Linked DNA regions of Arabidopsis thaliana. The protein of the gene in region 1 interacts with the protein of each later gene in a pairwise test. Each region holds a gene or a part of one and is shown on either strand. Other genes may lie near its edges.

What was found.
Region 2: the proteins of TMKL1 (region 1) and GATL10 interact in a protein complementation assay, tested with the Arabidopsis thaliana proteins (one large-scale study listed by BioGRID).
Region 3: the proteins of TMKL1 (region 1) and AT1G28695 interact in a protein complementation assay, tested with the Arabidopsis thaliana proteins (one large-scale study listed by BioGRID).
Region 4: the proteins of TMKL1 (region 1) and AT1G26850 interact in a protein complementation assay, tested with the Arabidopsis thaliana proteins (one large-scale study listed by BioGRID).

The regions. Positions count from the first base shown.
Region 1 is NC_003074.8:9,000,236-9,008,456, reverse strand, and holds TMKL1 (transmembrane kinase-like 1), read right to left. Parts: upstream 4,889-8,221; 5' UTR 4,817-4,888; coding exon 3,436-4,816; intron 3,350-3,435; coding exon 2,706-3,349; 3' UTR 2,514-2,705; downstream 1-2,513. Other genes in the region: AT3G24670 (Pectin lyase-like superfamily protein), read left to right, coding at 1-68, 818-1,460, 1,628-1,731, 1,815-1,953, 2,031-2,252; ABI3 (AP2/B3-like transcriptional factor family protein), read right to left, coding at 7,677-7,841, 7,954-8,030, 8,148-8,194. UniProt on the Arabidopsis thaliana protein: Does not seem to have conserved a kinase activity.
Region 2 is NC_003074.8:10,586,238-10,593,938, forward strand, and holds GATL10 (galacturonosyltransferase-like 10), read right to left. Parts: upstream 4,449-7,701; 5' UTR 4,257-4,448; coding exon 3,159-4,256; 3' UTR 2,779-3,158; coding exon of another isoform or gene 2,758-2,778; 3' UTR 2,710-2,757; downstream 1-2,709. Other genes in the region: AT3G28330 (F-box family protein-like protein), read right to left, coding at 329-1,522; AT3G28335 (uncharacterized protein), read left to right, coding at 1,915-1,947, 2,207-2,533, 2,758-2,778; ABCB15 (ABC transporter family protein), read right to left, coding at 7,684-7,701. UniProt on the Arabidopsis thaliana protein: May be involved in pectin and/or xylans biosynthesis in cell walls.
Region 3 is NC_003070.9:10,080,534-10,087,694, forward strand, and holds AT1G28695 (Nucleotide-diphospho-sugar transferase family protein), read right to left. Parts: upstream 2,590-7,161; 5' UTR 2,522-2,589; coding exon 2,417-2,521; intron 2,335-2,416; coding exon 1,942-2,334; intron 1,853-1,941; coding exon 1,361-1,852; 3' UTR 1,338-1,360; downstream 1-1,337. Other genes in the region: AT1G28690 (Tetratricopeptide repeat (TPR)-like superfamily protein), read right to left, coding at 1-1,071; AT1G28700 (Nucleotide-diphospho-sugar transferase family protein), read right to left, coding at 3,240-3,731, 3,816-4,205, 4,291-4,425; AT1G28710 (Nucleotide-diphospho-sugar transferase family protein), read right to left, coding at 6,317-6,817, 6,898-7,161.
Region 4 is NC_003070.9:9,300,306-9,309,588, reverse strand, and holds AT1G26850 (S-adenosyl-L-methionine-dependent methyltransferases superfamily protein), read left to right. Parts: upstream 1-5,260; 5' UTR 5,261-5,680; exon of another isoform or gene 5,681-5,744; intron 5,745-6,149; 5' UTR 6,150-6,156; coding exon 6,157-6,807; intron 6,808-6,887; coding exon 6,888-7,098; intron 7,099-7,190; coding exon 7,191-7,485; intron 7,486-7,568; coding exon 7,569-7,958; intron 7,959-8,049; coding exon 8,050-8,127; intron 8,128-8,217; coding exon 8,218-8,443; 3' UTR 8,444-8,783; downstream 8,784-9,283. Other genes in the region: ORC6 (origin recognition complex protein 6), read right to left, coding at 8,986-9,062, 9,164-9,260.

The DNA.
Region 1 (8,221 bases):
AACGACGACGGTGCATGGAATGAACACGCAGTTAAAAACCCAGAAGAAGTAGCTGCAATGGTCGATATGTAAGACCTCTCTCTATCCTCATTTGTTATTATACAAGTATATGGTTTTTATGCAAAAATGTAACATATTTTAATTAGCAATTAATATACGTTATGTACATCTCACTTTCATAATAATAACAACGTTTCAGATAGTCAAACGTTGTGTGATTCCTTAAATTTTAATTTACATAGGAAACACCCAAAAATATAATTAAATTGCACCCATAATGTTCCCATAAATGTTTAATTCTACACTCTTTTGATTTAAACCTCTTTTTAGACCAGAAGTTTTGTACAACTTGTGTGTCTATATGTGAATGTGACACAGACACGCCGTGATCGCCATTTAAAGCGCCTCTATCGTCGCTATTTTTTTTTCCCACCGACGCAAAATTTTGTAATTAATGTATACACATTTTTGTCCATAAAATATATCAGATTCTTTACGTTCTAACATTTATTTAAAACATCACAAAAATAGAAAGTTAAAATAAAATTAAAAAGAATGATATAAAAAAGTTTCCGTATGGTCCGTATCATATGATTCCGTATAAATGGTTTACATTTATTACACCACATGGTTCCTTCTTCTCCTCCACGTGATTTTTGAACTCCAAGAGGGCTTTAATGTGAAATCAAAAACTTCACGGGTCAATTTGTAACAGTTTAATAACTCTGTTCTCTTTTTGTTATTTTCAGGAAAATAAAAACTTCACGGGTCAATTTGTAACAATTTAATAACTCTGTTCTCTTTTTGTTATTTTCAGGAAAATAAAGAACAGTACAGAGCGGAGGAGGTTAGGATTCTTCTCATGCGCCACCGGAAACCCAATAGACGACTGTTGGAGATGTGATCGGAATTGGCATCTCCGACGAAAGCGTCTCGCGAATTGCGCGATCGGATTCGGTCGTAACGCTATCGGAGGACGAGATGGTCGTTACTACGTAGTCACAGATCCATCTGACCACGACGCGGTTAATCCACGACCAGGAACACTCCGTCACGCTGTGATACAAGACCGTCCGTTATGGATCGTCTTCAAGCGAGACATGGTGATTACTCTAACTCAAGAGCTAATCATGAACAGCTTCAAAACAATCGATGGAAGAGGCGTGAACGTTGCAATCGCAGGCGGTGCTTGTATTACGATTCAGTATGTGACGAATATTATCATCCATGGGATTAATGTACATGATTGTAGAAGAACTGGTAATGCTATGGTTCGAAGCTCGCCGTCGCATTATGGGTGGAGGACTATGGCGGATGGTGATGCTATATCGATATTTGGATCGAGTCATATTTGGATTGATCATAACTCTTTGTCTAATTGTGCTGATGGTTTGATTGATGCTATTATGGGATCTACTGCTATTACTATCTCCAATAACTACATGACTCACCACAACGAGGTTAGCTTTCTTTGCTGATTCAGTGGAACTGATGATGAATTTGCTGCAGAATCACGTTTTTGGAGTGGATTTTGGTTGATTTAGTAGCTAAATTAGTTAGTATAGTGAACTGAATTGTGTAGGGTGTGTTAAAGAGTTGAGAAGAAGTTTCTTGATGGATAATGCAGGTTATGTTGATGGGGCATAGTGATTCGTACACTAGAGACAAGTTGATGCAAGTGACAATAGCATATAACCATTTTGGGGAAGGGCTTATACAGAGAATGCCGAGGTTCGTCATGCATTTCATGTTTTCTTTTCGATGATTGTTTGCTACAAGAATCAGGAGGGCTGATTCTTTTGTTGTTATTTCAGGTGTAGACATGGTTATTTCCATGTTGTAAACAATGATTATACTCATTGGGTAATGTATGCAATTGGTGGAAGTGCTAACCCTACTATCAATAGTCAAGGCAATCGTTTCCTTGCCCCGGGCAACCCTTTCGCCAAAGAGGTATACCTTAATTTCTCTCTTTCGGAGTAGGAGATATTGAGAAAGGATGAATCTCAATATTGTAATGGTTTTGGCAGGTGACAAAGAGGGTAGGTTCATGGCAAGGGGAATGGAAGCAATGGAACTGGAGATCTCAAGGAGACCTAATGCTCAACGGTGCCTACTTCACTAAATCTGGAGCTGCTGCTCCTGCAAGCTATGCCAGAGCCTCTAGCTTGGGAGCTAAACCAGCTTCTGTAGTAAGTATGCTTACCTACAGCTCCGGTGCCCTTAAATGCAGGATCGGTATGCGGTGTTAGTTAATTGTATAATCCTCAAACCCAAGACCGAAGAGGATACTGACTAGCTGAGGGAGACAAAGGAAGAAAACTAACTTGTTTTCTTCGTCCCCGTCATTTACATTTTCATCGTCTCCTTTCTTTTCTCTTTTACCATTTTAGACTCTTCTCTGCCTCCACTCGTCAACCTAGGCCAGCTTTGATGAGCCGCAGTGTTGTTCGACTCAACTCCAAAATTGTAGTACAGTGCATTCTTCTTCTGCCTCATTACTCATTTGGTGTATCATCATGTATCATATATTCTTCTATCAATATTAATACTTTGAACTGCTTCTGTTACACTTACACCATTTCTCATCAACAAATATAGATAAAATCAAATCAGAATGGTTTCTTGCCAAGGAAACAAATATAGCCAACTAAAGTGAGGAATTACAGAAGAAAAAAAAAGCTTGTAGAAGAACACAATTAGACTCAAAATGGAGTTTCGGCGTCGCTCCTGGTTTCGGTTGGGCTGTACAATGCGGATCTATTCCTCGGTCTGTTCTCTTCCAACTGCTTCACAACCTCTTCCATGCTGGGTCTAACTGTTGTAACAGGAGCACAACATCCCATCGCTAGCTTCAATGCATGAACCAAACCTTCTTCCATTGGGCTCCTAATCCCTTTCATTGCCTCCAAGTCGAAAACCTCCATTGTCGTCTCTTCCAACACCGCAGCTTTAACCAAAGAAGGCAAGTCCACAAACTCATTACCGTTCCTTCCACTCTTTCCTGGTTTCTTACCCATCAATATCTCCAAGAGAAGGATCCCAAAGGCGTAAACATCACTCCTTGGATTGCATTTCTTCATCTTGTGGAGTTCAGGTGCTTTGTACCCGTCGGATTTCGCCTGCGAGACAATCTCATCTGCTACTGCCTGTACCATTATCTTGTCAAGCCCAAACTCAGTTAGCCTTGCAAAGAAAAAGTCGTCCACAAGCACGTTCTTTGATCTAATATTTCCATGGATGATAGGAACTTCTTGTCCAGTATGAAGATAAGCAAGTCCCCTCGCTATTCCAAGTGCAATCTTGTGTCTCCTAGCCCAATTCAAAGCTGGCTTTCGAGGTTTACTTTCTGCACATCATTCAAACAACACATGAATAACAAAAATCAACCAAGAAAGATCCATGGCAAAAAAGATTGATGATGAAAGAAAATACCATGCAACAAATCATGTAAGCTTATGTTGGGAAGATAGTCATAGATGAGAAGCTTTTCTCCTCTCTTCCCTTGATAGAAAGCTCTCAAGGGAACCAAATTCTCATGCCGAATGCGTCCTAACTGCCTTATAACAGGCAGACAAGAACTTCTATCCTTGCAAGTACCTTCTCTCAATAGCCTCAATGCAATATTCCCTCCATCACTAAGCTTAGCTTTATAGACAGTACCATAGCTAGTCTTCTCCATAACTTGCCCAGTAGCATTCAAAACATCATCCAACGTCAGATTCTCACCACCTTGAAACACAACTAACTTTCCTTCACCGCCTTCTTTCTCACCGATTTCATCTTCTTCATCACCTTCTTCCAAATCATCTTCACTCTCTATACTACTCTTTCTTTTCTTGTTCTGCAAATACCCTATTAACAACGAGGCCACAACAACAGCTCCAGACATTAAACCAATCACCAGACCAGCAACAGCACCTGGACTTAACCTAGAGGAGCCTAGACAAGGCTTCAAAGGCAAACCACAAAGGCTAGGACTGTTCCCTTCGAAAGATTCTGCTCCAAACTTTGACTCACCAAAATCTGGCAACATCCCACTGAAGTTATTATGAGAAAGATTGAGACTTTCTAGCTCTAATACACCTAAACCCTCAGGAACAAGACCTTCAAAGACATTACTTGAAAGATCAAGTGACTTCACACCTTTAAACCTAGTTATAAACTCAGGAAACTCACCTGAGAACTTATTACCACCCAAATCAAGAACTTGGAGATTACCACAAGTCGAATTTGGCAAAGCAGGCTCAGGCAAAACCCCAGACAAGTTATTACCATGAATCTTGAAAGAGACAAGCTTATCACAGAGGTTCCAAATCGATGGAGGCAAAACCCCAGCTAAGGCATTACCACTCAAATCAACATCAGAGAGAGAAGAAGTGTAACCAAGCTCAAGAGGGATTGACCCACTTAATGAATTGATGTTGAGGAACACACTTTGAAGCATAGAGAACTCACCAATCTCTCTAGGGAGTGAACCAGTGAGATTAGCAGAAGGAAGCTGAAGAGAGAGAAGGTGAAGAGAAGAGTCGTTGAACAGAGAGGTATTAGTCCATTGTGGTGAAGAGAGGTCACTACATTGAAGAGGAGACCCATTTGAAAATACCCATTTTACACCTCTCCATTGACAAACAGGAACAGAGGAGTTCCAAGAAGACAACAGTAAGCTCTCACTGTTTCCTTGTAGTGAAGACTTGATTTTTCCTAAAAGAAGCTTCACATCAGAAGAACCAGAGAGAGATGTTCCACAATGACAGTGAAGAATTAGCACAAAGAAGAAGATAACATGAAGAAATCTCAAAGCTTCCATGCCCATTTCTCACAAAGAGACAGAGAAAGAGAAAGAGAGGTTAGAGAAGGGAAAGGTAAGGACTTTGAGTTTCAAGACTGGTCCTTTGTAGCAGAAAGAGAGTGTTGACTACTTTGTAAACACTTTAGTCAAACATCTCAACGGCTATGATTTAAACTCAAACCGTATTGATTATTAACCGTCCGATATAACCAAAAGTTGGAATCTTTATAATCAGAAAGTGTAAACCGGATTGATTGCTTACCGTCCGATCAAGTGTGGCTTAAAGCGATGGACAAGAATGGTATAAATCTACTGATTACTCCTGAATTTATAAAGTTACTTTTCTTTATAACTTTAATTGATTAAACTATAAGCACGCTCAAAGTTCGAATTAAGACTTTTTCTTCTGCCAAAATAATAAAATGATGTTTTTTTATCAAGGTAAATGTTTTTGTGTAATTTGGTTCATGGGATGTTTCATGCTCCTTGAATCTTGACCGTAGATGAGTCATTGGAGACATGAGATGAGTGAATCAACGGTGGATGATGGAGAAGGTGGAGAAATCTTAGATAGTTTTGGTTTCTCTAGAAGACAATTTGTTGGAAGTACACAGAAAATGAAGAGCCAATATTTTGAAAAATGGGAAATGTGAATATCTAAGTGAGATGAAGTTATGTTGTCTATGTCCTTTTGTGTATTGTCTATTTCGAAATTTCAGGGGTGTCAATCGAGTAGACCGGTCAGGTGTCCGAAACATATTTTGGATTTGGATTTTGACATCAAACAAGATTGAGTAATTTGTTTTATTGTTGGATCAAACACGCTCAATTTTTTTTGCGTAGTATTTTTTGGCATAGAAAAATAGAAGGCTTGAATGGTAGTAGTTTATACTTTATAGCATAGTTATTGGTTTTCCAAAAACCCATTTAATTATCCAATCAAGATTAGAGTTCGCATTTTTGTAAACAAAATGAAAAATAAATCCCACTTTAATGAGTTTTTGATAATTGTTTGCAGATTTCTTTTTGTAATTTTAAATCAATATTTTTTCCTTTTGGCAAAATCTATAATCCAAAACCACTTAAAAACTCAAATATTCATGGCCAAAAGTTGTTTTCTTAAACCTAAGCATATATAGATAGGAAAACAATTTCTAATATACTGTATTTTACAATGGACTAGTAAAAGTTTATGAATGATGTGAAAACAATTAGATATACTGAGTCACAGCAGACTAAAAAAAAATTTTTTTGTTGAAATAGATATCAAGTTTGGCTTTTAGTAATATAGAAGTGTCTGAATTTGGTTAAAAAATAATCATAGATAAAGAAATTTATAAAAGGCATCTGATGGTTACTTTGATTCTAATTGACACTTTTGTTCCAAACATTTGTTACAAGTCGGGAAAATTATTTATTGTTGTATACCTCTAAGGTGGCTACACCATTTCGAAATTCAATCCTTTTGGAAAATGAAAAAAATATCTATACATTTTTTTTTTTTGAACAACAAAAAATATCTATACATGTCGATCATATATTCATATGTAGAAAAAGGCATATATTGATGATAATAAGACCACATAATTAGAGCAATATATGTTCTCCAGATATAAATCTCATGCAACTTTATAGAAGAAGAAGTTAGAAACATGAGGAGTCCTTGATTAGATTACTGAGACAACTATGTATGTCACGTCTTTATCAACATCTGAAACTATTCAACTACCACGCTGCTCCTTTTGTAATCAACTTCACTTTCATAAGATCAGATTATTTCATCAACTCCACTTTCTTTTTTGTTTCTCATAGTCTCATTATAAGTCTTTTGTTTTCAAGTTGTCAACCGTCTCACGGCTTTCTAGTAGGGCCTGAATGGAGAAAGGTGTGGTGTGGATATTTGGCACGGGTCAGATCATTGTTTTTTTGAATATCTCAATTCCTTAGGTGCGGTCCAGTTTTTGGGTTTAACCAAAAATAAGAAAGAATAATGATGTATCACAAACAACACACTTATATGAGGAAAATTATAATCCTACCTCACTTGTTTTTTTCCTCCAAAGATTTTCGTTACTCAATAATACAAAGGGTTCAAGCTAACTAGATAAACAAGAAAATGATAGAATCAAAGTGGTAAGGAACAACTCTTCTTAAAATGTCCATATGTAAACATTCTATTTACAAATATTTACAATGTGAATATGTGAATGATATGGATAATTTTGTACATATGTCCATATGTACATTAATTATCATTTTGTACATTAATTATCATTAATTATCATTTTTACTATCATTAAATTGTCCATATGTCCATATTTACAAATAATTTTGTACATTGATAATGATAATTAATGTACAAAATTAATTATCTCAATTCCTTCTTAAATTGTCCATATGTCCATATTTACAAATAATTTTGTACATTAATTATCATTTTTATTATCATTATCAATGTTTGTGTAAAAATATTGTATCATTCAACTCTTCTTAAAACATTCACATTATAAACGATATGTAAGCTCGACTCAAGAAATGAGCCACATATGTAATATTAACCAATTACAACAACAAAAGAACTATATAATCATCTCTCCAGAAATATAACACAAACACCATTTCCAGAATTAATCATCTCTACAATATCCTGAAGGTAAAAAGAGTAAAGAGTTATAAAAGAACCGACTCGACAAGAAAAAGCAAAAAATGGAGTAAAAACCCGGACCCCGACCAAACAGCTTTAATCATGACCCTCCATTTGTCTTCAAGATCCCATGCATGCACGAGAAGTGGCACACTCGGGTACGCTGCCATTTTTTCCTTTTGCCCTCTTTCTTATTTGGTACATAATAATATTTATATTGTTTCTTTTTGTCTCTGTTTTTCATTTAACAGTTTGAGAAGTTGGTGAAGCGACCACCACATTCGCCGACGGAGAGTTATTGTTTATGTTCCTTTGCGACTTGTTTTGTCTCTTCGTAGCTGCTGACGACGGTGGGGCCTCCGGCTTTTGTCCGCTCGGTTGTCTTACTTTAACCCCTCGTATCAACTGTCATAATATTATTCTCAATTAATTATGACAAGATAAATACCAACAAAAGTAATGATGAGAGTTAAATACTAATGAAAAGTATAGAAAAATATTGTGATGCTTCTCTTACATATTTGCCACATTTGACGTCGGAGTATATGACTATGAAATCACCTTCTTGGAGCCCATTGGTTTTCACAAAATCGCCTGTAAACGTAATTTCAAGGAAAATTAGATATGTATGCGTCCACAACAATAATTACAAGAGAACAAACAAACCAAAAGAAAGGAAAATTATTAACGGGTACATTTTCAAAAACGTACCGGTGTTCTCGAGGAGATACATCCTGCTTTTGTTGTTAGGCCAAAACCTGCAAAACCAATTTAAGAAGACAATT
Region 2 (7,701 bases), 1.6 Mb from region 1:
CAATCAGGTTTATTCTCTATTTTTGCTAAGAAAAATTTTATTCTGTTATGTTGTTCAGCGCGGGAGTATATTTGAGAATTCATTTCCCAATTGCGAGAATTAGAAAACTTGTAACCGTGAATATTCAAAGATTATTACGATTTTAAAAACTTTTATTGCAAATTTATAGACATGTTTTCTATATACATCTGTCTAGCTTTTCTTTGCAGAATAAAAACGAACTTATATTGCAAAACGCGGTAAGGAAAGCACTCAAAAGAAAACTATGCATCATCCTACAACTTCTTCCTACAGATAAGGAACAAAGAAAGTCTTACAAATATTAGATTTAAACACTCCTCACCGTGCTAGGGAACGGATGCATCCACTGTGGGAGAACGAACGAGGCAAAGTTTGATTCTAAGATGTATGTCATATCTCTCGGGCAATCAACGGAATTCAGAATGCGACCCGCGCTGCTATGTTCCACATCCTTGTGGAGCACAATGTCTCCATTGTGTAAGTTAATAGATAACAAGCATTTGCGACTCCAAAGGTAGACTGTTTTAGCATCAAAAGGGTCTGTTCCCAACGGAATATAATCGAAACCAGTCTTAATAGAATCCAAAGATATTTCGAATACTAGTCGCCATTGCCAGCTCTCTAGCCTCCATACACATAACTTGTCCTCTAAATTACCATCAACTTTTGGTATAGAGAATATGTTCATATACATGAGACATCCTTGAGAAGTTGTGCAAGTTCTTCTGAATTTCGGAACTTTATCTAAATCAGGAAATGGCGTAGCGCGGCATCGATCAGAGCGGCTATCAACAACATAGAAATCGATGGATACAATGAAATCTTGATACTCGGAACCGTGGGCGAGCCAGTAAAGACTTCCGTTCAAGCTAATGGGATTGTTAAACTCTTGAGATATATAGCTGAAAGGAAAAGTGTCACTGTTGAGACTCCACAAGCCTGTCTCAGATGAATATATGAGGAAAGTGAAGTTAGGTTTCAACAGAACAACTTTGTAACCTAAAACGACGCCATTCTCAACTCTTGTAGCTATTCCCAAAATCCAGAAACAATCCAGTTTCTGTGAAGGAAGAATCTCTACGCATTGCCTAGAAACAGGATTAGCTACGTAGAAAGACTGACTTGACACTCGATGAACCAATATCAATCCAACATCCGTGTAAGACACGACTCTAGCTTCATTATAGTTCTCGAATTTGTCGGTAAGGAAGGAAGAGATGTAATAACCGAGAGAATGGTTAAGATTCCAATTGTCAGATCCATAGTGAGACATGATCTCTGTCTCACAACCTCTACACATGAGTGACCATGAAGAATGATGAGAGTTTTGGTGTAGAGATTGGAAAAGGTCGCGGAAACACCGAGACTCAATGATTGATTTCCATACCTTGCAAACCAGTTTTGGAGTGGTGATGATGCTCTTTAGTGGTAATCTCGCAAGTATAATCTCCCATAGATCCTCTGTGAGAAAATCCATATCCTTCTTTTTTTGTCTCTCCATGAATTGGATTAGGTTTTTTTTTTTTGTGCGTGCTCGATTAGGGTTTCACTCGATTTTGTAGGGATGTTAAATAGGGTTTTCCGGCCCAACCCGGCCCTATTTATTTAAAGTCCAATCCTAAGTAAACCCTAACCCTTTTTAAGCCTAAAAAAGTTTAAAATAGGGTTGAGCCCTATTTAAGCCCTTTCTAGATTTAAAGTGCTTTTTTATAGTTAAAAGAGAAAAGTTTTTCCAACAAAAACAATTATAAGTTAACAACACTATTGTTTTATTATCAAATGGAAACACTATAACACCACAACATATAAAACAATTTTTTCTCTCATTTTGCTTAAATATAAAACATTCTTACCCATATTACAAATCCAAAAGAAACTGAGCAATTCTTTCCAATGGCTACAAATCCATACTGCATAACAAAATCGGTTTTTGTGTATATTGGGAACGATACACTCTTTTTTATTTGCTCAAAATGTAATTCCCACATTACACAGTTAACTATTTAAGAGAAAAAGTCAATAAAAGCCCCAATTCTTTAGCTTCGCTAGAGAAAGAAAAAAAGGGTAAATTAAGTGAATAACTATATTTGTTAAAGTTATTAAATAACTTAACACTATAATATGCATAATTCAATGACTAACACATATGGGGTATTTAATTACAACTCACTCCTTCCGGCAATAGAGTGGCTCCGGCGACGGTGGTGGCTACGGCGACGGAGGTGGTTCCGGCGACAGCGGTTGCTCTGGTGACGATGGTAGCTCCGGCGACGATAGTGGCTCTAGTGACGATGGAGGCTCCGGTGACAATGGGAACCCCGACGATGGGGTGGTGACTCCGGTGATGGCACTCGTTCCGGTAAGGGTTGTAGCTCCACCGGCGGTGGTGGTGGTGATGACGGCGGCATCGGCGGTGATGATGACGGCGGCATCGGCGGTGATGATGACGGCGGCGACGGTGGTAGTGGTAGTGATGACGGCGGCGACGGTGATGACGGAGATGATTGTGGTGGTAAGAAACAGGTATAATAGCAAATATTGTAGAAAATATACTGAATATCATCCATTTTTTTATTTTGGTTAGTTAGTAAATTATTAAATTTTTGTTGGTTATTGATACAAATTTTCCAAGAAAAAAAGTTCTATTAACCACAAAAAGCTCCAAATATCGTTGCAAAATCATATTATAGTTTCTACTTGGCATTTTTAATGAAAAAACCCCTCAAGTATCCGCAGATCTCTCCTCTTACTAACTAGTTTTGTATTTTGGTAAACATATTTTTAATGAAACAAAACAAAATACATGATCCAATTATACTTATTTAGAGTTAACTAGGTTGATAGCATATATATGAAAATGTATTTAGATAAATAAAAATCTGTTTGCTATTTTCTTAAATATAGGTATGTGATTTGGAATAGAACACATATAATATAAGCTTATTTTTATTCACACAACTCATGATTCATGAGGCAAAGAATACTTAAGCCGAATGAAGATCAATAATCAATATCTTGAACAAAATCCTCGATGTATTTATGTTGTATGTACATTAAAAAAGGAATAACAAAAAACATAGAATCCATGTAATGAGTTCACAAAATTTACCATACCAAAACCCCAAAAAATGAATAAATCAAAGAATTTCTAACTCTTGATTGTATTGAAGATACTGCCTCTGTGACTTGTGAAGATCATAAGGAGCCCAAAGATAATCAATTGGACAAGGCTTACCATCATCAAGCCTAACCCATGGCTTCCCTTTACCACTCCAATGTATCAAACTAACCGGACCAGGATGCAAAGATCTACAACTACTCACAATGTTGTCTCCACCGAGACCGTGTTGGTTCCATTGATGATCAATAGCTTCAATATCACCACCAAACACTAGAAGAAACGGTGGTAAAGAACCCAATTCGTAGATTCTCTTATCTTCTTTCTGAATCTTCATCCAGTTTTCGATCTTTCTCGTGTAATCTCCTTCTCTCCATCGCTCTAAATCGATAACCATCACTCCTGTGTTGAAATAACAAGGAGTCTTGGAATCGAAGACACTCGAGAGTTTTTGATCGGACCAGAAACTATCTGTGAAGTATTTGGTGAAATTTGCGTGGCAATACTCTGGTGCACCGATTGTTCTTGACCCGGATAAAGAAATCTTCCATAGTTTCTGAATATCATCGACCACAATCACATCCGAATCGAGATAAATCACTCGACTAACACACGAAGAAAGAATCTCGGATAAGTAGCTTCTTGCGTAATTCAAAGGACTATCAAGAGCTTGTCTTATAGAAGAAGAGATTAGATTCTTGACCGTGGTTTCTTCAAAGGTATAGACTTTGAAACTCAAAGAAGGAAAAACAGAGGATAGGGTCTTGGCGAGGGAACCCTGACTTGTACCCGAAGCAATGAAGTGGAAGAAGATGTTTTCAGGGCAAGAAGTGTGTTTGAGGATGGAATGTACTGCAGATACCGTGCCACGCAAGTAAGCTGGATCTAGAGTCATAGCTATATGAACAGCTGATGGATCACAAGCTAACAAGAGTCTGTTTTTGGCTAAAACAGAGCAATCAAGACCGTTTTGATATGCTGGAGCTTCCATTAAATCTGAAGATGCATCGTCGAATGAATCAGGGAATAGTCGAATCGATTCAACGGTGAAGAAAGATGTGGAGATTATTGAGAAGATTATTATTAGTCTAGAGGCTAATCTTGAACCAGACATCATCAAGAGAACTTAATGGCTAAGATCTCAAAGCAGAGCTCTTTTTAAGGTTTGGTGTTTCTAAAGTGTCTAGAAAAAAAGTTTCTGGAATTTATGGACAAGAGAAAGAAAAAGAGAAAGGTCGACGAAGAAGACCAAGACAAAAAAGGAAACGCGGTTTTGTAAAGAAGAGAGTCAATTTACGCTCTTTTAAAACTCGTTTTCTTTTATTGTCACTATCATTGTTTTTTCTTAGATATTTTATTTTATTTCTAGAAACCCATAAAATTACTTTTTTTTTATTATCTCACAGTCAATGTATAACAAACATTGAATTTGAGACACTGCAAAAAAAGTGTATTGGTGAATATTGTTCATTGTATATGGTTGTAAAGATTAAGGATACATTTATGACCAGTTACATATGTACAAGTACAACATGTAGTTAATAATATTGACCGTTATATTAAAACTCTTAATGGCATATCTATTCACAAGATTTATTCGGAAAAAAAGAAGATTTAATCATTCGTTTTTTCATATATCTAGGACCGATCTTGACATTAATGGGGTCATAAATAAATAATTACGGTTTAGAGGCGTGATTATTTATGTAAAATTTGAGTTTTTATAGTTTCGAGAGCAAATGATCTATACATATTAACTCGTTAAATTTAGGGGGCAAGGGAAAGTTTTTAATTTTTAAATGTTTTTTGAGAATTTCGAGTTGGTCAATTTTTGGAGATGAAGATACTAAATAAACGATATATAAGTATAACCTATTTTTGTTTACAGAAATAAATGTTAGGTTTAACTAACTCATCATAGTCAATATTGACATAAAGTTTTATTAAATATTAAGTATGAAAGATTAACTAATAATTTAATTAAATGAATACGCATGTAAATGTAGACATTTCACGCATCGACATAAATGTTACATATAAAAGAAAAAGTATGTTAGGTTGTAGGAATCCAGCAATTTTAGAATATGGGTTGATAATGGTCCAATGAACACATGGTTCCATGTGCATCTCTACATATTACGATATACAATTATATATAACCTATTCACTATTGACTAACGCCCAAAAGATAATGATATATTTAAATGGTCAGCTCACATTCATTGGATACAATGCTACTTCTAATTAAAGAAATTATAGAAAGTGTTTGTGTTTACTCTATAAGCATGTGAGTATTCCTCGTTTGAATGGATTTTATTTGCAGGTTTTCACCCATTTCTATGACTAGAATTTGTTTGTTTCCCTAAGTAGAGTTTATTAATTTTCTCTTGTGATGACAATGGTATACAAATTGTAGCATCATTCCAAACAAATCTAACTCTTGCAAATTTATACAGGACGTCAGGACCCAGTATTTTATGTTATGAGACAGTTGGAATATTCACTTTTTAAAAATTGATCTCTTTGGATTAGCAAATTTTCTGAACTACTATTACTATTTATAGCATATACGAATTCCACATGAACAAATGTTCTCGGCTTCTAATAATATGAATGGAATTTATATATCTATATTTTTCTTCCTTTTCTAAACGATACAAATGAAGAATATAAATAAAATAATTTACAATTATGATAATTTTGTGGACAATAGAAAATAACAACGCACTAAAAGTTTACTTTAACCAGAACTAATCAACACAATTAGCGAGAACTTTATAATATTCATCATTTCATTAATTTGAACACTTGATATGAGAAAGACAATCAAAATTTTAAATTTGGAATATAATTATTCGTTTTTTGGTTTTACAGAAAGCAGCCACTATACTTTCACCTGTTTTTTTTTTTTGATTTTATGTTTAATCATGCAAACCTACTTTCTTAAAAATTGATTTTTTTTTTCTTTCTAAAAAGGTTACATTTTCTTATAATTGTTCATTAAAATTAAATCCACAAATAAGAAACAAAAATATTGTGTTATGTTTGAAGACAGCTGTATGTGCGGCTGTGGGCTGGAAATGTCATTATTCTTTTGTAATGCGTATATATATCTCACACTTTGGAATTATGTTAACCTAATTACAAAACTTCCTAACATTACCAATTCTAGCGGGTTCTTATTTAGAAGCAACTTAATGAAAAGAATCTTACGGTACATCTGTTACGAGTTGCTTTCAATAGTATTACACATAGTATGCAATTTTATACAGTATAATAGAGGCAATTCAGCTCAATTTATATAATTTTCTTATTAATTACTATAAAGGCTATAAATTTATTTCAATATAAATAATTGGTTAACCATTGAAATTCAACTATATCAAACCGACAATCGATTATTAAGATATGAAAATGAATATCTTATGTCGTGCGCTGGAGATTAAGACTTCTATAAGAACGAAAGTTCTTTTTCTTTTCGTGTGCTTTATACATTTGTGACTGAACCTATTAATAATAATAATCATATAAATTTAAGTGTATTTTTCCAAAAAATTAAACAATACAGTAGAGAAATAGAAACATTCATACGTGATTTTGTTTAACTATATAACTAAAATTCTATTTTAGAACTATGATTTTTTTTTTTTTTGTTACAATTTTCTTTTCCTACTCATTAAATTTGGATTTTTTTTCTTCTAATTACCACCATTATGCCATTTGCACGCACTCCCATGACCCATCTATAATGTATAGAGCAATATCCAACGTATGAAGATATGATGCAGTTTGTGAATCCAGATCATGAATTACAATGTTATTTTTGTTAGCAAATTAAATATTGCTAATCCAACAAGAATCGATCTCATGCTTGAGTTTTTTTTTTTTTTTTTTTTCTCACACCAGTATTTTACGATATCGACATGAAATGTTTTCTTAAAACATTTCCAAGAAAACATTTCCAATGTCTAACTCTATATTTTCCTCTATTTTAGAGTTGATTCTATTTTACAGGAAATATAGTTGATTTTTCTCCATTGTATGACTCTAAAATAGAGTTAACTATAAATAGAAGAAAAATGTAGAAATAACTCTATATATAGAGCAAAAAATAGCAATCTCTACACTTTACCTCTATTTTAGAGTCATACAATGGAGCAAAGTCAAGTATATTTCCTCTAAAATAGAGTCAACTAAAAATAGAAGAAAATATAGAGTTGAAAAAAATAGTAGATACTAATAATTTTTCTTGGAACTGCAAATCATTTGGATTTCAACTGAAACTTGAGGGTAAAATTGAATTGGGTTATGTATATATCTTAGAACTTCTAGATAAAAACTTAAAAAGAGAAGCCACAAGCTTTGAGATGAGATTTGGGAAAACGTTTATTTTATTTCTATTCAATTAACAAGCTTTGTTTTCTTTTTTACATTCCATTGTTATATATATAGTGTTTAAATCGTAGCCCGCTTTAAAAATTAAACTTCTTGACATTTATTTGATTACAAATAATTTCATTAGCGATGAAACGACATGGTTTAAGTTAACCAGAAGTTGTCTG
Region 3 (7,161 bases), on another chromosome or scaffold:
TTCCTCAGGGTTTCCATTCTTTCCATATCCATCAATCATCGAAGTCCACGAAAATACGTTTTTCTCTTGCATTTGGTCAAAGACTCTTCTTGCATCATTGATCCCTCCGCATTTGGCATACATGTCTAACAAAGAGCTCCCCATTTTGATATGCGTGTAAACTCCACTCTTCATAATCTGAGCGTGCACTTGCTGACCAACTTCATGGGACGTCAAAACCGAACACGCTCCAATCACGCTAGCGAAAGTTGAAATATTCGGATGGAAACCAGCTCGTTGCATCGAAATATACATGTCAACTGATCTCTTAGCAGTTTCACCTGATCTGCTGAAACCTTCCACCATAGCATTGTAAACTACAATATCCTTCACTTTGGTAGTATTGAAAATCTCTTCCGCATCCTCTACAAAACCTTGATTCATGTAACCTGAGATCATTGATGTACAACACACAACATTCTCATCTTTCATTGTTTCAAACACAGTCCTTGCAGACTCCAACTTCCCACTCTTCACATAAGTATCAACAAGTGCAGTAATCAACACATCATCTAGCTCAACATCACATTTTATAATCCGGGCATGGACCAACCTACATAAGCTACGCGGCAGTATCATAGTCGAGCCACGACTATTAGAAGCCTTTAGAACCATGGAAAGCGTGTACCCATCTGCCTTTTCCCCAGAGTATGACATCCGTTGAACTAGAAGAAGTAATTCCTTTACCAATCCATGCTTCAAGTACCCACTAATCATGTAGTTGTAAGCCGATAATGTTGGCTTGGGTAATTCGTCGAACACTTGGCGTGCATAACTCAAGCAACCGCATTTTAAATGAAGAATGAGTAGTTTGATGGATATATTCAAATCTGGTTGAAACCCAGTTTTGATGATATCTGCGTGTATCTTCTTACCAGCTTTTGGGGCCGGAGAATTGATATGTTCTTGTAAAGCTCCCGCAATGTATTTCGCCGGTGAGAGAGAAGACACGTTTTGTTTCAACGGGAATGTTGAGTAATGATTCGACGGCAAAATCCGCGGTGAGATTGACGTGAATCTGAAGATTCTCATGCTTACATTAGCTGTGTGAATTGTGTGAATAAAGATTGAAACTTTACGCGTAATTTACAGAGGCTCTGTTTCGAACTTTCCAAAATGCAAAGAACGAGAGAGAGAGAAGTCGGTCAAACGACAGCGTTTGATGTATTTGATAAAACGACAGCGTTTGATGTATTTGATAAAACGACAGCGTTTGATATAGTTGATATAGTTATGTTTTAAGGTTGAGGCATATGTCATGTGTTACCCTTAATGGTAGTTTAGCAATCACATTAATTTTGCGTATTGTAAACGAAGAGGGTCAGAGCCTAGGGATATAGTGAGTGTCATTCCATGAACGCGAACACTTAAGATGAGGGCTCCATTTGCTGTTGACATGTGACGCTTTGTAGCGTTTCCAATCACGAAGAACACGAGTGAGATCAAAGACTTTGGCAGGGATGTGGAGGCAGCAGTTAGCATGGACGGTAGTGACAACGCCCATGTGAGGACTGTCTTGGCAAAAACCGCTGAATTCGGTGGTACTAAGGAAGCCAACGTTGAGACCTAACTGGTTGAAGAAGCCGGAGTCTAGGAGATTCTTGAGAACGTCTTGTTCCTTCATCCCCGTCGAGTTTAGCCTCATGTCGTACCATTTTTGGAAGAGTGAGATGGTCTTGTTGTTAGACCGGACGTGGTAGAATCCCGTGTTGATCAACTGTCCTCCCACGTTAATTCTGTCCACGCTTATTTGCATATCCAAGCTCATGTTTAACCGAGACAATGGACTCCTTAGCCACATCACGTCCGTGTCCTGATGACATTGTACATATAATATACTAATTGAGCAACAATCTAAAATGTTTTATATTGTTATATGTTCCAAAATCTGAGGGAACTAACCGTGAAAATAACATTGTAGCCACGACGAAGAACGTCTAGGATCAAGCGAGTCCTTCTCCACATCATCTCAATGAAATCTTTTGACATGAATACTTTCTCTCCCTCTAAGTCAACCCCATCTTCAGTCTCCATCTTGTAGCAGTGAAGCCTCTTGAAACGGCAGCGATCATAGGCCGTTTGATCCACTGCCACCACCATTAGATGGTCCAAAAGTGGTAGAGTCCCTTCTCCTTCCCAAAAACTCTCCAAAAACAGATCAAGCATCGTACTCCCTCTTCCAACCTCCTTCACGTACGCTTTGTTCACCATCGTTATTATCACCGTCTTGTTGTTTCCGGCGGCTGCCGTATACAAGGCCGCCTCTAGCTCATCTACCGGATACTGTGTTGTTCTCTGTTACCACTTCATATATTTGAATTCTTCCTATATATATATTTACTCTACACTAATTTCAATATATTATGAATTTACTTACCAGAGTGTTGACATAGTTTTGGTAGTTGAAGATATATAGGGCGCCGGCAAAGAAGAGAGCAACGGCGACGACGAGATTGCCGGAGAAATTATTGCAAAGTGGCATGTTTTTGGTTTATCGCATTATTAGGAGCTAGTTAGGAGACTCACGCCTTTTTTATTTCTCTCTCTCGTGATTTTGTACTAAACAATTAACCTATTTATTTATTTATATAAACGATGGATATATGTGAATAATGTATATAGAAAATCCACTAACGTTTTTAAGGTTCCTTCCTTCACGAATATATCACATAAGAATCGTCATGTAATTAGGGTTTTTGTGTTTTTACTCTGTGAGATTTTCAATCGTTCACGTAACATTCTGTTTACCTAAGGGAATTAATATGAATCCAATAAACGTACATATATATTTACTACATATCAAAATTAACAAAACTTTTAGTTACTTACATGATATGCCATTAGGTAAGAAATGATATAAATGTCTCTTCTACCTTAATTGAGATCATTCTCAATTTCTTTCCATTTTGCCCTCCTCTCTTTCGGAATTAGATTAGCCAAGTAGTTTTTTCTACAATCATTGTAACAAAAACATATTTGTCTAACATAGTAAATTAATCTCTATATTATTAAAAGAAAAAATAAAAAACGAGAATATAGCTTGTAACACACATATAAGATGTTTTGTAATTACTTGTTAAAAGAGAATTGCTCATCTAGCTAGCTAGAGGATTAATCAAAAGAAGATATGCACTTATAAATGATGTAATTGTGTATACTATATAGCAATCTCATTAATTTGCTTATATGAACGAAGAAAGTCAGAGCTTGGGGACATAATGAACGTCCTTCCATGAACGCCTGCACTCAACATGGGGGCTCCACCTGCTGTTGACACGGGAGGCTTTGTAGCGTTTCCAGTCACGAAGAGCAAGACTGAGATCAGAGATCTTAGCAGGGATGTGGACGCAACAGTTGGCGTGGACGGTTGTGACAGCCCCCATGTCAGGGCTGTCTTGGCAGAAACCGCTGAATTCGGCCGTACTGAGGAAGCCAACGTTGAGACCAAGCTGGTTAAAGAAGCCAGAGTCTAGGAGATTCTTGAGGACGTCTTGTTCCTTCATGCCCAAAGACTTGAGCCTCATGTCGTACCATTTCTGGAAGAGGGAGATGGTCTTGTTGTTGGACCGGGCATGGTAGAATCCCGTGTTGATCAATTGTCCTCTCACGTTATTTCTGTCCACGCTTATATGCATATCCAAGCTCACGTTTAGCCGGGACAAGGGACTCCTTAGCCACATCACGTCCGTATCCTAACATTGTATATACACTACTTGTTTGAGCAACAAATTAAGTGTTTTGTTATATATGTTACAAAATCAAGGGACGGACCTAACCGTGAAAATAATATGGTAGCCGCGGCTGAGGACGTCTAGGAGCAAGCGAGTCCTCCTCCACATCATCTCTATGAAATCTTTTGACATGTATACTTTCTCTCCCTCCAAGTCAACCCCTTCCGTATCCATCTTGTAGCAATGGAGCCTCCTGAAGAGGCAGCGATCGTAGGCCGTCTGATCCGCTGCAACCACCATCAGATGGTTAAGAAGCGGGCGTGTCCCCTCTCCTTCCCAAAAACTCTCCAAAAACAGATCCAGCATCGTCCTCCCTCCTCCATCCTCCTCCACGTAAGCTTTGTTCACCATTGCTATTATCACCGTCTTGTTGTTCCCTGTCGACGCCTTGTCCAGCACCGTCTCTAGCTCGTCCACCGGATACTGTATCAATCTCTGTCACGTACCATTTCAAAATATATTTCAAATCTTCCTTTATTTGTACTCTAGAATTCCATATATATTATATGAATCAACTTACAGTGTTGACATTTTGTAGGAGACCGGAGATGGGATCAGAAGCTGAACGTGATGAGAAGTAGATATATAAGGCGCCGGCAAATAGAAGAGCAACGGCCAGGGCGAGACTGCCGGAGGAGTTATTGTAGGAAGTCATATGTTTTTGGTTTTTGTTCGGATTATTAGGATATACTCACAACTATTTCATGTGCCCTATTTTCTCTCTTTTGATTCACACAACAATTCAACACTATATTTATATTACCGGATTTGGATGTATAACACCAGTTTAATGTGAATATCACAAACGTTTTTAAGGTTCCTTCTCGAATACGTCACACATGAATCATCTTTTGTTCTAGGGTTTTTGTTTCCTACTTTAGTCTCACGATTATCATCACGCCAACATATTATTATATTTGCTATAGAGATTAGAGAATCTTATAAATATTTACTTTATCAATCCATGCTTTAGGTACCCACTAATCATATGTAGTTGTAAGCCGAGAGAGCTCCAAGAAAGGTTACATATGTAATTGGGTTCTATACGGAATCCTTCATCCTATAGTGAAGAGTTTGAGTGCTTCATCAGGGTTTCTTAATTCTGATCTCCATATCCATCAATCATCGAAAACACGTTTTTCTCTTACATTTGGTCAAAGACTCTTCTCTTGCATCATCTTTGGGATCGTTGGTAGTTTAAAATGATCAAATTTCACACAATAATTAAAAAAAAAACGATATCTATAATAGTCCAACTAATTAATAATTCTAATAATCTATATAATTATGTAAATATTATAATACTTTGAAAAAGAACTATAAAATATCTCCAATTGTTCTGATGTTTAGTCTTTTTGTTTAGTTATTATACTATCTGTATTTTCCTTTCTTACATTTTAACCTCCACAATGTTATATAGAGCAGTAGTTATTATGATGTTACTTAAAATTCATATTCACAAATTACACACTTCAAATATATAGACTATATCAAATTTAATCCAATTAGTCATATTTATCAGCGATATTACTGATTTCTTGATTATAAAACTAAGTATTTTTAAATACAAACTTCAATATGTAAAATATGCACAATTTTAAAATAAATGTCAAAGACTTTATGTATATGCACAAAATTATTATCATGCGGCTACTGCAGATCAAATCCTAATATATGAGAAAATCACTGCTTTTCAATTCTTTTTCCTGTAACAAAATAAAATGAAATTGTTGTTTTAGTTAATTTATATACCCAAAAGACTTAAAATTAGATTTACATACCAATGATAATTCGAAAATTATGTAAGAAGAAAATAGGAAAAAAATTAAAGCCATAAATATCATTCTCGTTTTTTCAATTACACAAAATGTCATTCTCAAAGACAATGTTCATAACCGCCTGATGATACTGTTCATCAAAGGTTGACTAAACTATTCATCACCGGATTGCATCAAACATTTTCACATGTAATATATGAGAGTATTGTTGTTTTTTTATTGTATCCCCATCCAGACTTTCAGAAATCAAGTGCCTGAAGTTTCAAAACAAAAAAAGTGGATCCACAAATTACCTTTCTTTCACATCCGATGACTCACTTTGGCTGTACAGAAAACAGTTTTGTATGCTACATCAATTGATTTCCTCAAAACAGAAGAGAAATCAAGTATTTAAGTTTTACATCAGCAACATAGCATTTGGTCTAATGGTATGATATTTCTTGCTTTTGGTGCACGAGGTCTCGATCATTCATTTGGTTTTTATCCACCAACTTGTGCATTGGATTTGAAACTCTGTCTTCTATGTGTTCTTTTTATCAAGTAGCTAGCTAGGTAGTAGAATTATCAGCAATTATTTGGGTAGCTGTAACGAAGAGCGAAAAACAATCTGGTTGTAACACACATATATGATGTTTTGTAATTACTTGTCAAAAGAGAATTGTTCCTCTAGCTAGCTAGGATTAATCTGAAGAACATATGCAGTTAATAGATGATGAAGTTGTGTATACTATAGCAATCTCATTAATTGGCATATATGAACGAAGAAGGTCAGAGCTTGGGGATATAGTGAGTGTCACTCCATGAACGCCCGCACTCAACATGGGGGCTCCAATTGCTGTTGACATGGGAGGCTTTGTAGCGTTTCCAGTCACGAAGAACAAGAGTTAGATCAGAGATCTTAGCAAGGATGTGGCGGCAACAGTTGGCATGGACGGTGGTGACAACGCCCATGTCATGGCTGTCTTGGCAGAAGCCACTGAATTCGGTAGTGTTGAGGAAGCCAACGTTGAGGCCAAGCTGGTTAAAGAAACCAGAGTCTAGGAGACTCTTAAGGACATCTTGTTCCTTCATGCCCGTCGACTTGAGCCTCATGTCGTACCATTTCTGGAAGAGGGAGATGGTCTTGTTGTTGGACCTGACGTGGTAGAATCCCGTGTTGATCAAGTGTCCTCCAACCAGGCCAATACTGTCCACGCTTATCTGCATATCCAAGCTCTCGTTGTAGCTTAGTCGGGGAAAAGGGCTCCTTAGCCACATCACGTCCGTGTCCTGACATATACATACACTACTTATAGAGAAACAAATTAGGTGTTTTGTTATACATTCCAAAACCAAGGGACGGACCTAACCGTGAAAGTAAGATTGTAGCCGCGGCTGAGGACGTCTAGGAGCAAGTGAGTCCTCCGCCACATCATCTCAATGAAATCTTTTGACATATATACCTTCTCTCCCTCCAAGTCAACCCCATCGGTATCCATCTTGTAGCAGTGGAGCCTCCTGAAGAGGCAACGATCGTAGGAAGTCTGATCCGCTGCCACTAGCATCAGATGGTCAAGAAGCGGCCGAGTACCCTCTCCTTCCCAAAAACTCTCCAAAAACAGATCCAGCATTGT
Region 4 (9,283 bases), on another chromosome or scaffold:
GTAAAATCTAGTTGAAGTTTTAAATATCTATCCAAAATCTTTTCTTTAATCATTTTTGTGTATGTACAAGTACCGTCAATTTGATCAACTAATTATTTACTACAGCGTCAAATTGTAAATTTATCGGTTTTCGAAAGTCATGCTAGTTGACAAGGCAAATAGAATTATTTGAAATTGATGTTGATTACCTAAGTAGAATGACATGGATCGGACTTATACATTTCGATATTACAAAATCCAAAAAACAATCTTTATATATGGGTTTCTTAGTGAATGTATTGTTAAGAAAATAGATAGTGCAATAAAGAGAATGAGTTTGATGAAGGATATATTGTTCTTTTTCAATATTTTGAAATCGTATATATATATACTTCATTTTATGTGTGTCCGTATGATGTGAAGTTTATGAAAAATACATTCGTTTTTTTATTTGCAATCATAGATAGAATAAAAACTTACTCGATATTTAGTTAAGTGCTGTATATGTTAACTCGTTTAATTAAGACTTAAAAGTAGTAAATTCAAGTCACTTTTTAAGTGTTTTCTAGTGAATCTGTACTGGATAACTAATGTTGTTGCATCGTTCCATCTACATCGAAATTCTTAGTACATGAGACATCATCCTTTATTCAGCAGCATCACAATCATTTTGGAACGTTAAAGGCCTTTTGAAAAGTGTATCATAATCTGTTGTTTAACGTTCACGTTTCAAAACTAAACTTCCTAACAGTTTAGATAGCGATTAAAAATTTATATGTGAACTAGTGTTTAATTAACATGTAATTTTTAAACGTAAACTTTCATCGTTGTGCGGTTTAAATAGCAAAAAAAAAATTTTTTATGTGAAATGCATATAATTTCAATACTTCATTTTTATGAAATCTTATATACTGTAGTCTAATTTTAAAATATACGCAGCGTCACATTCTCAAAATTTTGAATAATAGGTCGAAAGTCGAAACTATCATATGCTATTTTATTTATTCATAATAGGTTTTTTATCGGGCATCAACAAGTCAATTGACGTAAAAATACTTTAAAAAAAAATTAACATGTGGAAAACTGGAAAAATAGAATGTAGTTTGATGGTCCAGCGTCACCTGAGTTTAATTTTTGGTACCGACTTCAAAACCAGATCGCACTATAGGCAAAAGTCTAAAGGCATAGCTAGGGGATACGTCAAACCCAATGAAATTCCAAAAAGCCAAGTTTCCTCGGTTTATACCCATTTTGTCTCTCTTCTAGTTTTGACTCTTTTTGGTTTTTACTTCCCAAGCGTGTGCACTTGATATTTGAGCCTCTTTTTCTTTCTATATGACTATGCATATTGTTGTTTATTTCTTCACAGTACATAATAAGTAAATGTGAAAAATACCATTAGTCAAAGCTTCAAAGTCTTCAAGCCCAAGCATCCATACCTCTGTCTTCGTGAAGATAATTAACCCTCCTCACCACAGTTAATCATGTCCCTCACCTTCGAATTTTTTATCTTTGACCAAACTCTTTTCCCTTGTTACTTATTGTTTAAACCATATTTGTCTAATTTACTGGTTCACTAATTAGTTTACTGGTGCACTAATTACTTATTGTTTAAACAATACTTATCGTAATTCTATTTCTACCAGACTATAAGCTTGAACATTATTGAACAAATGAGTGCTAGATTTAGATTAAAGTCTTAAGATATTGAGTTACAAGAAAAGTATCAATTAATATTCATTTATCCATCGTTTTAGACATTCACTTACTAAGAAAACCAATGTGGATGCGTAATTTTTTTTCATGATAGTCATATCGTACGTGTTTAATATCTTGGACCTAGAAGGTGTGTGAGTTTTCAAGACCTATATTGGGCCTTGACTTGGTTAATCAGCAATATGGGCCAATCAATAAATATTATTGACGACTTGACATCGTTTTTATTTTTGGTAATTTCTCAAAGCTGCTTTAGTGCTTTCTAAACGACAACTTCATTGTTTACACTTACAGTCTTCAAAGAGTTACTACTTGGCCGACAAAAGAAATATGTTATTATTGTACTTTTAAAAAAAAAAATTATCTTTGCTAATAATTTGTAAATGTAGGTCGGCCAACTAATTATGGAAATTAGTTTTCGCTTAGAGTCTGACATTTGAAAATCTAGTACAAAACTTTTTTTTTAACAAAAAACAGAATAGAGTGCTTCTATTATTATTGCTCATAATCATTAGCCATCCATTGGTAAAAGTAAAACACGATGGGTGTGATGAATATTTCCTAACCAATAGGCTATCCAAAAACAAGAGAGCTTATAACATATCTTGATAACCTTGGCAAATATGAAGTGAGTTTTGGTGAAACTCAAAAGGTTTAAAAGTATATGAATAGATGTCGACGATTCTTTAACTTTCCGATATAATATGAAATAGAAGGAGTAATAAAAACAAATTCATCAGACATTGTAAGCTTAGACTAAACAACTTTTTGTACGAATGTATATTGACTAGAAAACCAAAACATGATAATAACATGTCATGTCACTTGATGACCCAAATCAGATTTCGATTGAACATAATTATTCAGCTCCCCGATATCAATCTCACAATATTCATTTACGTTGTGTTTTTTTTTATATGGAATTCTGACCCTTTCCTCCATCTTATGAATTGGGTCTAAATTTGAACTTAAATCGCTCATGATACTAATTAATAAACATAAATCCATATTTTTTAAAATGAGTTATTGATTGATAAGTATGTTTCTTACAAGGGAGTGAGGTATGAGTGGCCTATATATAGTTTTGGTTTTAAATTAATGGGGTCTTATGAAAATTTGGGACACTCAACCATAAAATCCACAATACTTTGCAGTCGGTGGTGTACTCAGCAAGAAGATATGGTGGGTCTAACCAACTTGAAGACTATTTATTTACTATTGGGAGTCAAACATAATTGAACATTGAATACGAGAAACGAAAACATAAATGTCTAATTGAGATCCACGTATCCCATTAATTGTTTGAGAAATAAAAAGAAGCATAAATACGTCCGTTCATAAAAACATAGCTAAAAACATCAGTTCATAGAAGATCCATAAGTCCCTCAATTGACTAGTTAGATCGATGGGTGTGCATTAGTTCACATGAGTTCATAGAAACTAGAAACTAATCATTAATCAAGCCTAAATACATCAGTTTCAGAAAAACTTATTAATGACCATTAATTTATTTAACTTCATATAAACAAACGTTGAATCATGTCATAGAAGTTCTAAATACGAGATATACTAACATATTTTGATACAAAAATGATTAAAAAAAAAAGGATGATCAAAATTACAAAATTGTTCAAAGTTGATTTTGAATACACATATGAGAAATACAAATATCGGAATTACCTCAAAAATTTTTATTTTATTTTGTAAATTTAAATTTCATTGCTACGTGTCTCTAAGATGTTCTTTATTACTTGATCTTTTAAAAAAAACAAAATTGTTTCAAAAAGATTAATTTTTAGTTTTTTATGCACTATTTATTAGTTATTATGAATAAATTTTAAATTTTAAAATAAATAATTGAATATCACTGGTTTAGAATAATAGAAAAACAGAAATCACAAAAACTAATACATTTATGATCAATTTTAATTTTTTTCTTTTATTTTGTGTGCTTTTTCTAGAAAATCAACTAAAAAAAATTACTGCTCATCCTAAAAAACATATTATTCATTAATTAACATTAAATCATACTAAGGAAACTAAAAAAGAAATAAAGAACCCAGACATCATACTAAGGAGGTTAAAAACTTTGGATGCTAACTTTTTTTTTTTTTGACCCAGACATCAAAGTCTTAAAAGCATTCTCATGGAAAGTACAGTGTCCGCCCAAGTTATATCACTTCTTGTGGCAAATTTTAGCGGGATGTGTACCAATAACGGACAATCTACGAAAACGCGGAATAAACTGTGAGATAGGATGTAGCAGATGTGGTGCTCTAGAAGAAACCATTAACCACACGCTTTTCTTATGCCATCCTGCTCGTCAGATTTGGGCACTTTCACAGATACCTACGGTCCCAGAAAAATTTCCTTATGCATCTATATATGCAAATTTGGATCATTTATTTTGGCGCATACCTTTAGAATTTGATTCATCTTCATTTCCATAGATAATTTGGTATATTTGGAAAGCAGGGAATAAAAAAATCTTTGATAATGTGGATAAAGATCCTCTAGAGATCTTACATTTGGCGGAAAAAGAGTCAGACTTGTGGAAGTCCGCTCAACTTGAGCTTCACAACGAAAATTTTGGTTCTTTCAATTTGGAAGATCGTAATCGAGTGCGGCATTTTTCTTTAGACAACAATTATTCTGGATATCGTTGTTTTGTAGATGGATCTTGGAAAGATACCGACAAGTTTTCAGGCTTAGGATGGTACTGTACATCATCAACTGGAGAGACATCAACTTTGGGAGCTGCCAATCTCAGAAGAAGTTTATCTCCTTTACATGCCGAGCTGGAAGCTTTCCTCTGGGCGATGAAGTGTATGATTGGTGCCGACAACCAAGATGTAGTTTTTCTTACAGACTGTTCAGATCTGGTGGAGATGGTGTCTTCCCCAACCGAATGACCAGCTTTCTCATCGTATTTGGAGGAGTTACAGAGCGATAAGGATGAGTTCACAAACTTTTCTCTATCTTTAATCTCTCGTAGTACTAATGTTAAAGCAGATTTTTTGGCACGAAAAGTTCGTACCCAACCGCTTCATATTACATTTGTAAACAACATTCTTCAGGATTGACTCGTTTGAGTCCTAATTAATTTTCGGATGACAAAGAAAAAAAAAAAACCCAAATTATTAATTCCACAGAGCAAGACCAATCTTAAGATACATTTACAGCCGTTGGATCCAACTAGTAATCATCAGGGGCCGTAGTCCGTAGGATTAATTACTACGCGGTTTTTGCAACATATGCTTTTCTACAATTGATGGGTCCCCATGTTCAGAGGTATGTTCTTCCCTACTGGAAGTACCAATTTATAGTTTAATCAAATTTATTTTTTTGTATCAAAAACTTTAATTTTGTAAAGCCTCCACGCGAAACTTAACTTCTAATAAACTCTCTCAATTCTCTATTTTTTTTTCCCAATTATGCATAAACTTATTCATTCTGGTTTCTGGTTATAAACAGTGTGAAACAATATATTTTTTCTGGTTAGAGTGTGAAACAATATAATTGTACTGAATTACAGTAAGAAATCACTTTTTTGTATTTTTTTTTTCAAGCTATCAGCTTTTCATTTTCTTTATTTTTTTCCTTTTTATTTTTTATTTATTTTATCAAATTTTTCTTAGCTTTTATTAATTTTATAATTTTTCCGCCGATTTTAGGTTAAAGAAAAAAATAAAAATACGAAAATATCAGACGTCGATTGAATCTACAAAGTTTCATCTCCTCTTCTCTCTCTCTCAATCTCAATGGCTCTGTTTTAAAAAGGGCAAATTAGAGAGATTTCTCCTTCAATAACAAAAAATCGCCAGCTTTATCTCTCTCTTTTTCACATCCCATGGCTAGATGGTGACGACGATTCACGCATAAACTAGGGTTCCCCCACAAATCATCTTACACGTATCCTCTATTCCTTCCTTCCTTTCTCCGTCATCATCATTTTTCCCACCGACAACAATCTCTCGGAGTTTGGGTATTATTACTTCTCTCATCAACCAATTGTACCACTAGATCTCCCAGATTCCTTCATTATCTCTGTATGTTCCTTCTTTCCGACCAATCTATCTCTGTTTTGTCAGATCGGGCTTACTTTTAAAAATCTGTTTTGTTTCTCAATCTGTTAATAACTAATGACGTTGTAGTAGTTAAAGACTAGTGTTTTGTTGTAGCTTGTTTTATTAGATCTCTTTCGTTATTCTTACGGAAGATTTGATTTATTGCTTCTCTTTCAAGACAAAGTTTTTATTTTTATGAATGTCTCTGTTCTAGTTTTAATAATATAACAGATTTGAGATTCTCTTTTGTCTCTTTAGTATATTTGTCTTGTTTTTGAACTGTTGTTGTTGTTGTTGTTATGTCTCTATCTACTTATTCAAATCTAAAGCTTCACTCTCTTTTTTTTGCCTCTTGATCTGATTTGGAGCTGATCTGTGTTTTGTTAGATCAATAATGGCGTTGAAGTCTAGTTCTGCTGATGGTAAAACCAGAAGCTCTGTTCAGATCTTCATTGTGTTTAGTTTATGTTGCTTCTTTTACATTTTGGGAGCATGGCAACGAAGTGGTTTTGGTAAAGGAGACAGTATTGCTCTTGAGATGACCAACAGTGGAGCTGATTGCAACATTGTTCCTAGCTTGAATTTCGAGACTCATCACGCTGGCGAATCAAGTCTTGTTGGTGCTTCTGAAGCTGCAAAGGTCAAGGCTTTCGAGCCCTGTGATGGTCGTTACACGGATTACACTCCTTGTCAAGATCAGAGACGTGCCATGACTTTCCCGAGAGATAGTATGATTTACCGAGAAAGGCATTGCGCTCCTGAGAATGAGAAGCTCCATTGTCTTATACCGGCTCCTAAAGGATATGTGACACCTTTCTCTTGGCCTAAGAGTCGAGACTATGTGCCTTATGCTAATGCGCCGTATAAAGCATTGACTGTTGAGAAGGCTATTCAGAATTGGATTCAGTATGAGGGAGACGTTTTTAGATTCCCTGGTGGTGGAACTCAGTTCCCTCAAGGTGCTGATAAGTATATCGATCAGCTTGCTTCCGTGATACCTATGGAGAACGGAACTGTTAGGACTGCTTTGGACACTGGTTGTGGGGTAATGTTTTATACTTTCTTGACTTTCTTATTGAAACTACAATACTTACATGGTGGAACTAAATTGAGACGTTTTGTTAGGTTGCAAGTTGGGGAGCGTACTTATGGAGCAGAAATGTGCGTGCAATGTCTTTTGCACCAAGAGATTCACACGAGGCTCAGGTCCAGTTTGCTCTCGAGAGAGGTGTTCCCGCTGTTATTGGTGTTCTTGGTACCATAAAGTTGCCATACCCAACACGTGCTTTCGACATGGCTCATTGCTCTCGGTGTTTGATTCCATGGGGAGCAAATGGTTAAAACCTTTTCTGATCTTATATCAATTTGACTTTCACTTTGTCTAAAGACATATCAGTTACTTACAATGCTGTTTTTCTTTTATAACAGATGGGATGTACTTGATGGAAGTTGACCGTGTGCTTAGACCTGGTGGGTACTGGATTCTGTCTGGTCCTCCAATCAACTGGAAAGTCAACTACAAGGCATGGCAACGTCCCAAGGAGGACCTTCAAGAGGAACAAAGAAAGATTGAGGAAGCTGCTAAACTTCTTTGTTGGGAGAAAAAGTATGAACACGGTGAGATTGCAATTTGGCAGAAGAGAGTCAATGATGAGGCATGCCGATCAAGACAAGATGATCCTAGAGCCAATTTCTGCAAAACCGATGATACCGATGATGTCTGGTAAGTTTCATTTCTTATATTCCTCATTCTTTTTTCCTTGCTAGAAACATCACCGTATGGCTCTAATAATGAATCTTCTCTAGGTACAAGAAAATGGAGGCATGTATTACACCGTATCCGGAGACAAGTAGCTCAGATGAAGTAGCTGGTGGTGAGCTTCAGGCTTTCCCAGATAGGCTCAATGCAGTGCCGCCCAGGATCTCTAGCGGTTCGATCTCTGGTGTTACTGTTGATGCCTATGAAGACGATAACAGACAGTGGAAAAAACATGTGAAAGCCTACAAGAGAATCAACAGTCTACTTGACACTGGAAGGTACCGTAACATCATGGACATGAACGCAGGGTTTGGTGGATTTGCTGCTGCTCTTGAATCCCAAAAGCTTTGGGTTATGAATGTTGTTCCCACAATTGCCGAAAAGAACAGACTCGGAGTTGTATATGAACGAGGACTCATCGGTATCTACCATGACTGGTAAGTAAAAGATTATTCCCTCTTCTCACAACTTCTCAATAACTCATTGTCTCTGGTTTGAGAGACTCTCTGTCTACTGAAATGGTTTCAGGTGTGAGGCTTTCTCTACATATCCAAGAACATATGACCTGATCCACGCGAACCACCTCTTCAGTCTATACAAGAACAAGTATGTATAACTGTTTTGTGTAATGATTCATAACAACAGTTTTTTAGAGGTATTTTGAGATTGCTAATGTATGAATCCGAAACTCTTTAGGTGCAATGCGGATGATATTCTTCTAGAGATGGATAGAATTCTCCGACCAGAAGGAGCGGTTATAATCCGGGATGATGTGGATACATTGATCAAGGTGAAGAGAATCATCGCTGGAATGAGATGGGATGCGAAGCTTGTCGATCATGAGGATGGTCCTTTAGTTCCTGAGAAGGTTTTGATTGCCGTGAAGCAGTATTGGGTCACCAACTCCACCTCGACTCACTGAAGTTACTTTATTTCCGGTGTGACCTGACATTTTGATCAAATGATAGAGCTTTCGTCCTTAGGGAATGTGAGAGAGCTGCAAATCTTGTCTTTAAACACTTTTTGAAGTATCTATTTATTGATGTTATAGTTTATTTTTGTTTCCCAATCCAAAAGCTTGGAACTTTGTGGTGTACCATTGAATTCTCAACTTAATAGTTTTTGCACTAGCCAACTCTGTTTCTTCTTCTCTTACAAACTCAGATTGTTTAAATCGACGAGTATGTTTATGCTTACCACTAGTGTGGAGAAGAGATGTGTCGAAGACCAATAAACCGAACGTAACCGATGCTTAATTGCTTACCACTAGGTATACGAAATACCATGTAGTTTATTCAATTGATCATAGTTTATCTAGTAGACATTTATGTGTCCATTATTTGCATAAAAATCTATAGAAAATGGTTTGGGGAAAAAAAAAATTCTTATCAAGAATTGTCATTTACACATTAAATGTGATGAAAACAACAATAACAGGATCTGAGTCTCTGAATGTGTGTAATGTTATGAATCAACTTGCAACTCTTTGGTCTCAGATTTCTTTGGGAAATTGAGACTGGCCTGTATAACTCTCTTAGTTCCTGAAAAGAAAACACAAGATCCAGAAACATCAGCAACAGAGAAAACATACAAATGAATCATTTCTTTTGGTGATCAAATCAATTTACAAAAGTTTGAGTACCTTTCTCTGGATTCTTCTTAATCGAATTAACGACTGTAGATTTCCAGTCCTCATACTTAGCCTCCTCCATCTTCTTGTGTCTTTTGTAACATGAAGACTGAAGAAGCAAATCACATGTAG